Xenopus tropicalis: one gene and its partner. The protein of the gene in region 1 purifies or fractionates together with the protein of each later gene. This does not show direct contact. Links are inferred from orthologs where the notes say so. Each region holds a gene or a part of one and is shown on either strand. Other genes may lie near its edges. The genes, in order: tctn2 and tctn3.

Region 1 (4,415 bases):
ACAAATCTTATAGTTCAACCACTGTGTGTAAAGTGTAGCCTGATCCCAGCTTGTGTTATGGCAGAAAAGGCACTGTTAGTGTTTCAAGTGTACAGAACACTCCCACACCCCATGCTAAAATTTTGCAGACTAGTCCCAAATTTGTGATAAGCAGCAACACTGAATTGCAGCCACACTGAGTTGCAACTCACACAGTTGCAAACATTCTGCAAAATATGTCTGTAGGTAAGTCTGTGAATTGTAGTTCTCTGTCTCCCACCCATCAGACTTTATATGTAAGCAATCAGGACCATCACACCTCTTTCATAATTTGGTCAGGGATGCTCTTAGCTTATAACGAGGTTACAGATATAAAAGCCACAGTTCAGTGGAATAACTTGGACAGAAAATAAGTGTTTCAGTTAGAATTTGTCTGACTGTATTATTAAGAGAGGGTTGTGTAGGAGAAGGTGAATGCACATGTGTCAAGTGGTGGCGTGGATTGTAGGGGTAGGCAGAAGAGGTACCTGCCTGGTGCCCCCCCATAGTTGCGCCCTAGGCAGGTGTCTCTTCTGCCTACCCCTGGTTATGGCCCTGGACACCACACAAGCTAAACTCAAGGCCATAGATTCACTGGTACCTGTAGCCAGAGGCTACTTTTTGCCATCCCTGGTAACCTGATTCCAGAGCCACTATCAGAAACTTTGGTGGCCAGTTATCATTTTAAGCACGGGTGTAACTATAGAGGAAACAGACCCTGTAACTATAGTGGCACAGTGGGACGGCCTAATAAGCAGCTAAATTTATAGGTTTAATTTCTTGTTCCCCATGTTAGGGACTCAACTATCATGTTGTGGGGCTAAATAACTAGACATTCCACTGCTGAAAAGTTAATGTAGTACTTTTATAAATTGTTATATTAGTTAATTCATTGAGGGACAGTGGAGTTTGCCCTGATCCCAATCCCTTAGTTTTAAAGCTAGGAGCATTGAACCCTCAGTCTGAAATGAATGGCCTATTAGCTAGTAAATAGACTCACTCACTAGAGTTCTTTCCCTACAGCTCAAACCTTACTAATGAGTTATTTAGCTCACTGTTTCAATTCCACCAAAAGCGAAAGAGATCTGACAAAACTAAATACCCAATCAAATTCACTGTTCTACACAGAAAATGATTGTGCCTTTTGTGACTACAATTCCCAGCATTCATCAAAACAGCCGTCGCGCAATAAAGGTTTACATACACGTGACTGTGTGCTGGCGGCGCATTGGCCAGGCTTGTCATAGTTACTGTACTCTACGTGAGTTTGGACATGGCGTCCTAGCAACGCGTTCGGGCGCTATTGTTGAAGCATTCAGTGGATAATGTCGAACCCGCGGGCCCCTTGTCTGTTCTTTCTAATATGTGCTGCCGTGATGACAACGACATTGGCGCAAAGTAAGATGGTGATGGGTTTATTGCATAGGCAAGGGAGATTCCAGCTGCTGTGACAGTGGGAAATTTGAAGTCAAAAGTGGCTTGTAAAATTATTTAGATTTTTATTTTTTTTTACCATTTGCCAAATACTTGCCCAATAGTGCCACGGACTTGGACTCTTGAGATCAGTTCTTGGAACGCTTTGGTTTTATGATGTGAATGATTGTCAGGGGACTTCACAGTGTCATTACTGAGCCATTTCATGACAATTTTGTAAAAATAACTACCCATACTGAAGATTTTTGGGGGCCCTAAAATACATTTTCTTTAAGGCCCATTAACATCATGTGAAATCACTCTGCTAAGAATAATCATATTTTGAGTTTCAGTGCTTAGAAATAAAAATATGACATTCTTGTATAAGCAGAAAGAAAGAAAGTCTCAGCAGCCCTCGGGAATGGTGAAACAAACGGTGATCTATATGTGCCACTAGTTACTTGTGGCACGAATGAAAAAGGTTATATGTGTGAATAAAACATTACTTTGATTTTAAATGTTTCTCCCTCTTTTTATAGCTTTTTACCCTTCCAGAATCATCTTACGTGGACATAGTGCAACATCGTTTCTTACAAATGTGGCAAATCCTTCACCTATTGGTGTGTCTATAACTGTGATTAATAATACAGGTACTCTATTTTCTGGAAATCATTATAACAATATTTTTTATTATTCCCCACAGAACATAGGTCAGCCATAAGTAGTTCAGGGTACTTCTCTATTGGGCCCCAATATTGTCAATTTGTTTTCACCCCCAGTGAACCCAATTGATATGTTTCCTAGGCCAGAGAAAATATAGCTGTGCCCTGGGGGAAAAAAGAAACACGGCCCTGCAACACCATAATGCATATTATTTTGCTGTTTTGTGAGTTGCAGCAAGACCCCTGTTCATTTTGTATGCTGTTTTCATCTTAGATGTAATACCAGCTCCACGTTGTGATGGACAAAACAGCACAGAGACCTGGGTAACATCTCTGGTTCCTTTGCAAAATGTGGTAAGCATTTCTAAAACTTTATCAGAAAGAATAACGTTTTTAATATGTTTCCAGTAAATATTTATTATAATTGTATATCTTTTATTTTTTTTTATGTTATTGTACTGAAACTCTCTTTCTAATAACATGTTTGTGGTCCCTTGAAGTGCTGTGAATGTATTGCTATTAGAAGCTAATTTATATCCATATATCCATTTTTTTATCCATATTTTTTGCTGGAAATGGTTTTATAATGGGAAGACATTTTATTATGGTTTAAGCAATCTTTTTAAGTTACTATAGCAGTTACAAATTTGATTTCTGGGTATAATAGTACATCATCCTGTTTAAAAATCTAGGACTTTCCTGGGAATGATCATGCAGATATATATCTGACCAGCAGAACCTGTGGTTTAGGACCCAAAAATCAGTCTCCATTCAGTTAATGGTGGGTCACTACAATCCCATTTAAAGAGACAGTTCACCGGGGGGCCAGACTATAGTTAGTGCACAAACTATGGCCCTCCCCCACTGCATCCTTCCTCACCCCTGGCTACTACCTGTCTGCCTCAGCGTGATCCTTGGCCCCAGCGCGTCTGGTAACCGTGTCTCACTGGCCAGTGCTGATGACCCGCAGGGGCTGGGTAAATGACCTTTGGGGGGCTCTATCCGGCCCGTGGGCCGTAGTTTGAGGACCCCTGCTCCAGGGCGTACCAAATGTTAGCCACCACACCAGGCCGGTTCTCTTGTTTGCAGAAAAATGCTCTGGTCCAGGGCACTTCTGTAGTGGTACCAAAAAAGGTTAAAAAAAAACAAAAGAAAAGAAAACTCAGTGTCTTAGCAGCATTGAAAGGTAGATAAACAGAAATCTAGGGCAAATAAGATATAAATTACCACATGTAGTAATCTGTAAATGTTTAACTTTGATTACAGAATGCCTATGTGTTCACCCTCAGTTTGAATCAGACACCTTGCACCCAGAATGTGACTAATTGCTGCACCGATGTGCCTTGCTTTGTGCAGACTCTTCAAATTTCTGCTTGTGTGAATAATACTTCTATTGCCACATTGCTTGTTGAAGCAGAAATCTATAGTAATACAACTTTCTCTGGGACCATTTCTGGTAAGCAATTGATTCTTTCTTGATATCTTGTAAAGCATCAGTATACTCTGTATGTGTTAGTAAGAAATGTGCTTATGCAGAGATCCTAACTTGATGCTTATGCCTGATGGGGAAAATTAGGTTGTGCAAGCTACATTTAGGGCAGTGACACCTAGGGGCTGATTTACTAAGACACGAATTCGAATCCGAATTGGAAAAATTCCGATTGGAAAACGAACATTTTGCGACTTTTTCGTATTTTTGCGATTTTTTCGGCGCCTTTACGACTTTCCCGTAAATTGTCGCAACTTTTTCGTAACCGGTACGACTTGCGCGAATTGTCGCAACTTTTTCATAGCCATAGCAAATTTCGTGAATTGTCGCGACTTTTCCATTGCCATTATGCCTTTGGAGAATTGTAGCGACTTTTTCATTGCCATTATGCCTTTGGAGAATTGTAGCGACTTTTTCATTGCCATTATGCCTTTGGAGAATTGTAGCGACTTTTTCATTGCCATTATGCCTTTGGAGAATTGTAGCGACTTTTTCATTGCCATTATGCCTTTGGAGAATTGTTGCGACTTTTTCATTGCCATTATGCCTTTGGAGAATTGTTGCGACTTTTTCATTGCCATTATGCCTTTGGAGAATTGTCGCGACTTTTTCATTGCCATTATAACTTTCGTGAATTGTCGCGACTTTTTCATAGCCATTACGACTTTCGCGAATTATCGCAACTTTCGTATTGAGAGCTCGAAAAAGTCGCGACAATTCGCGAAAAAGTCGCAAAGTACCGATCATTACAAAAAAAACGCATTCGGACGCTTTTCGGACCTTCGTGGATTAGTAAATGTGCCCCCTAGTGTGTTTAGTCATGTTAGTTTGCT
Region 2 (4,345 bases), on another chromosome or scaffold:
GCTGGGGGGCACTAAGGCCCATGGACTCTCTGTGACCCAATATAATAACCCCCCCATACTGATTCCCCAGGGGCATATAGTAGCTGGGGGGCACTAAGGCCCATGGACTCTCTGTGACCCAATATAATAACCCCCCCATACTGATTCCCCAGGGGCATTATAGTAGCTGGGGGGCACTAAGGCCCATGGACTCTCTGTGCCCAAATATAATAACCCCCCATACTGATTCCCCAGGGGCATTATAGTAGCTGGGGGCACTAAGGCCCGTGGACTCTCTGTGACCCAATATAATAACCCCCCCATACTGATTCCCCTGGGGCATTATAGTAGCTGGGGGGCACTAAGGGCCATGGACTCTCTGTGACCCAATATAATAACCCCCCCATACTGATTCCCCTGGGGCATTATAGTAGCTGGGGGGGCACTAAGGCCCGTGGACTCTCTGTGACCCAATATAATAACCCCCCATACTGATTCCCCAGGGGCATTATAGTAGCTGGGGGCACTAAGGGCCATGGACTCTCTGTGACCCCAATATAATAACCCCCCCATACTGATTCCCCTGGGGCATTATAGTAGCTGGGGGGCACTAAGGCCCATGGACTCTCTGTGACCCAATATAATAACCCCCCCATACTGATTCCCCTGGGCATTATAGTAGCTGGGGGGCACTAAGGGCCATGGACTCTCTGTGACCCAATATAATAACCCCCCCATACTGATTCCCCTGGGGCATTATAGTAGCTGGGGGGGCACTAAGGCCCATGGACTCTCTGTGACCCAATATAATAACCCCCCCATACTGATTCCCCTGGGGCATTATAGTAGCTGGGGGGGCACTAAGGCCCATGGACTCTCTGTGACCCAATATAATAACCCCCCCATACTGATTCCCCTGGGGCATTATAGTATCTGGGGGGGGCACTAAGGCCCATGGACTGTCTGTGACCAATATAATAACCCCCCATACTGATTCCCCAGGGCATTATAGTAGCTGGGGGGGCACTAAGGCCCATGGACTCTCTGTGACCCAATATAATAACCCCCCCATACTGATTCCCCAGGGGCATTATAGTAGCTGGGGGGCACTAAGGCCCATGGACTCTCTGTGCCCCAATATAATAACCCCCCCATACTGATACCCCTGGGGCATTATAGTAGCTGGGGGGCACTAAGGCCCATGGACTCTCTGTGCCCCAATATAATACCCCCCCCCCCATAATGATTCCCCAGGGGCATTACATTTGGGGCTGGGGGAGGGGGCCTACTTAAAGCCCTCATCTTTTCCCGCCCCACAGATAAGAGCCAGACCCGCCCCTGGGATTATCCCCTCAGCACTACATATCCCATAATCCCACGGGGCTGGGCGGAGCAGTAGCGCAGAGGACCATTGGCGGGCCGGAAGTGAGGCAGTTGTACCCGCCCCTGGGATTATCCCCACAGCACTACATATCCCATAATCCCACGGGGTGGGCGGAGCGAGGTAGCGCAGAGAACCATTGGCGGGCCGGAAGTGAGGCAGTTATACCCGCCCCTGGGATTATCCCCTCAGAACTACATATCCCATAATCCCACGGGGTGGGCGGAGCGAGGTAGCGCAGAGGACCAATGGCGGGCCGGAAGTGAGGTAGCGCAGAGGCTGAATGGCGGGCCGGAAGTGAGGCAGTTGCCAAGGAGACGGGACGCGGAGAGCGCGATGGTTCCGGTACTGACGGTTCTGCTGGTTTGGGCCGGGGGGGTTCGGGCTTTGACAGGTAAGGGGACCCCCTGATAGTAACCCCCCCCCCCCGCTGTACTGAGGGCCTGTCCCTTACACAGGGTTCTACCCACAATGCAACATTTCCCAGCATCCCCCAGTAACCAGGTGCGCTAGGGTCTGTATGGGGCGCGACTGGCACTGGGTTTGGCAGTATGTCAGAAGGGTGCCAGGGTGTGGGTGCCAGGGTGTCGGTGCCAGGGTGTGGGTGCCAGGGTGTGGGTGCCAGGGTGTGGGTGCCAGGGTGTGGGTGCCGGGGTGTGGGTGCCGGGGTGTGGGTGCCGGGGTGCCAGGGTGTCGGTGCCAGGGTGTCAGTGTCAGGGTGCCAGGGTGTGGGTGCCAGGGTGTGGGTGCCAGGGTGTGGGTGCCAGGGTGTGGGTGCCGGGGTGTGGGTGCCGGGGTGTGGGTGCCGGGGTGCCAGGGTGTCGGTGCCAGGGTGTCAGTGTCAGGGTGCCAGGGTGTGGGTGCCAGGGTGTGGGTGCCAGGGTGTCGGTGTCAGGGTGCCAGGGTGTGGGTGCCAGGGTGTGGGTGCCAGGGTGTCGGTGTCAGGGTGCCAGGGTGTCGGTGCCAGGGTGTGGGTGCCGGGGTGTGGGTGCCAGGGTGTGGGTGCCGGGGTGCCAGGGTGTCGGTGCCAGGGTGTGGGTGCCAGGGTGTCGGTGCCAGGGTGTCTGTGTCAGGGTGCCAGGGTGTCGGTGCCAGAGTGTCAGGGTGCCAGGGTGTTGGTGCCAGAGTGTCAGGGTGCCAGGGTGCCTCTCCCTTATAAAGACAAGTTAATAAGAAGAATAACGGGGAAAGGGGACTGACCCCACTATATATTGTCTCCCTGGGTGCCAGGGTGCCGGTGTCAGTGCCAGAGTGCCAGGGTGTCGGTGCCGGTGCCAGAGTGCCAGGGTGTCGGTGCCAGGGTGTCAGTGTCAGGGTGCCAGGGTGCCTCTCCCTTATAAAGACAAGTTAATAAGAAGAATAACGGGGAAAGGGGACTGACCCCACTATACATTGTCTCCCTGGGTGCCAGGGTGTCGGTGCCAGGGTGTCTGTGCCAGGGTGCCTCTCCCTTATAAAGACAAGTTAATAAGAAGAATAACGGGGAAAGGGGACTGACCCCACTATACATTGTCTCCCTGGGTTACAGGGTGCCGGTGTCAGTGCCAGAGTGCCAGGGTGCCGGTGCCAGAGTGCCAGGGTGTCGGTGCCAGGGTGTCAGTGTCAGGGTGCCAGGGTGCCTCTCCCTTATAAAGACAAGTTAATAAGAAGAATAACGGGGAAAGGGGACTGACCCCACTATACATTGTCTCCCTGGGTTACAGGGGTCGGTGTTTGTACCTGTGACCTTTCCCCTGGACTCTGTGATCTGAACTGCTGCTGTGACCCCGACTGTTCCCTCAGTGACCCCACAACTGTCTTCTCCTTCTGCCTCCCGGGGAGCACCAAGTAAGTGCCCTATCTGCCCCCTGTGCCTCCCTAGTGCCCCACTGCATACTGACATTCTGCCCCCCAGTAACGTTACACTGCTCTCTCCCCTTACAGGGTGCAGAGGTGGGCGTGCCTCTCCAGCTGGCTCATGTTCCGTAGCAACGCCCCGTATCCAACCACAAATATTGCCCCTGTTACTCCTGGATCCCCCAATCTCTTCTGTGTCCTGCCAAGTGACTGTAAGTACTCTGGCCCCGCCCCTTTATATCCCATAGTGCTCTCTGTAACTAATACCTCTGTCCCCGCCCCTTTATATCCCATAGTGCTTTCTGTCACTAATACCTCTGGCCCCGCCCCTTTATATCCCACAGTGCTCTCTGTAACTAATACCTCTGGCCCCGCCCCTTTATATCCCATAGTGCTCTCTGTCACTAATACCTCTGGCCCCGCCCCTTTATATCCCACAGTGCTCTCTGTCACTAATACCTCTGGCCCCGCCCTTTTATATCCCACAGTGCTCTCTGTCACTAATACCTCTGGCCCCGCCCCTTTATATCCCATAGTGCTTTCTGTCACTAATACCTCTGTCTCCGCCCCTTTATATCCCATAGTGCTCTCTGTCACTAATACCTCTGGCCCCGCCCCTTTATATCCCACAGTGCTCTCTGTCACTAATACCTCTGGCCCCGCCCCTTTATATCCCATAGTGCTCTCTGTCACTAATACCTCTGGCCCCGCCCCTTTATATCCCACAGTGCTCTCTGTCACTAATACCTCTGGCCCGCCCCTTTATATCCCACAGTGCTCTCTGTCACTAATACCTCTGGCCCCGCCCCTTTATATCCCACAGTGCTCTCTGTCACTAATACCTCTGGCCCCGCCCCTTTATATCCCACAGTGCTCTCTGTCACTAATACCTCTGGCCCCGCCCCTTTATATCCCACAGTGCTCTCTGTCACTAATACCTCTGGCCCCGCCCCTTTATATCCCACAGTGCTCTCTGTCACTAATACCTCTGGCCCCGCCCCTTTATATCCCACAGTGCTCTCTGTCACTAATACCTCTGGCCCCGCCCCTTTATATCCCACAGTGCTCTCTGTCACTAATACCTCTGGCCCCGCCCTTTTATATCCCACAGTGCTCTCTGTCACTAATACCTCTGGCCCCGCCCCTTTA

Evidence for each region.
Region 2: the proteins of tctn2 (region 1) and tctn3 purify together in Homo sapiens (affinity purification with mass spectrometry; 3 studies listed by BioGRID and IntAct, with this or other methods). This does not show direct contact. The link is inferred for Xenopus tropicalis from reciprocal best matches to the Homo sapiens genes TCTN2 and TCTN3.

The regions. Positions count from the first base shown.
Region 1 is NC_030677.2:160,942,096-160,946,510, reverse strand, and holds the start of tctn2 (tectonic-2 precursor), read left to right. Parts: upstream 1-1,318; 5' UTR 1,319-1,343; coding exon 1,344-1,416; intron 1,417-1,970; coding exon 1,971-2,081; intron 2,082-2,367; coding exon 2,368-2,447; intron 2,448-3,359; coding exon 3,360-3,549; intron 3,550-4,415.
Region 2 is NC_030685.2:529,206-533,550, reverse strand, and holds the start of tctn3 (tectonic-3), read left to right. Parts: upstream 1-1,454; 5' UTR 1,455-1,696; coding exon 1,697-1,754; intron 1,755-3,063; coding exon 3,064-3,187; intron 3,188-3,283; coding exon 3,284-3,408; intron 3,409-4,345.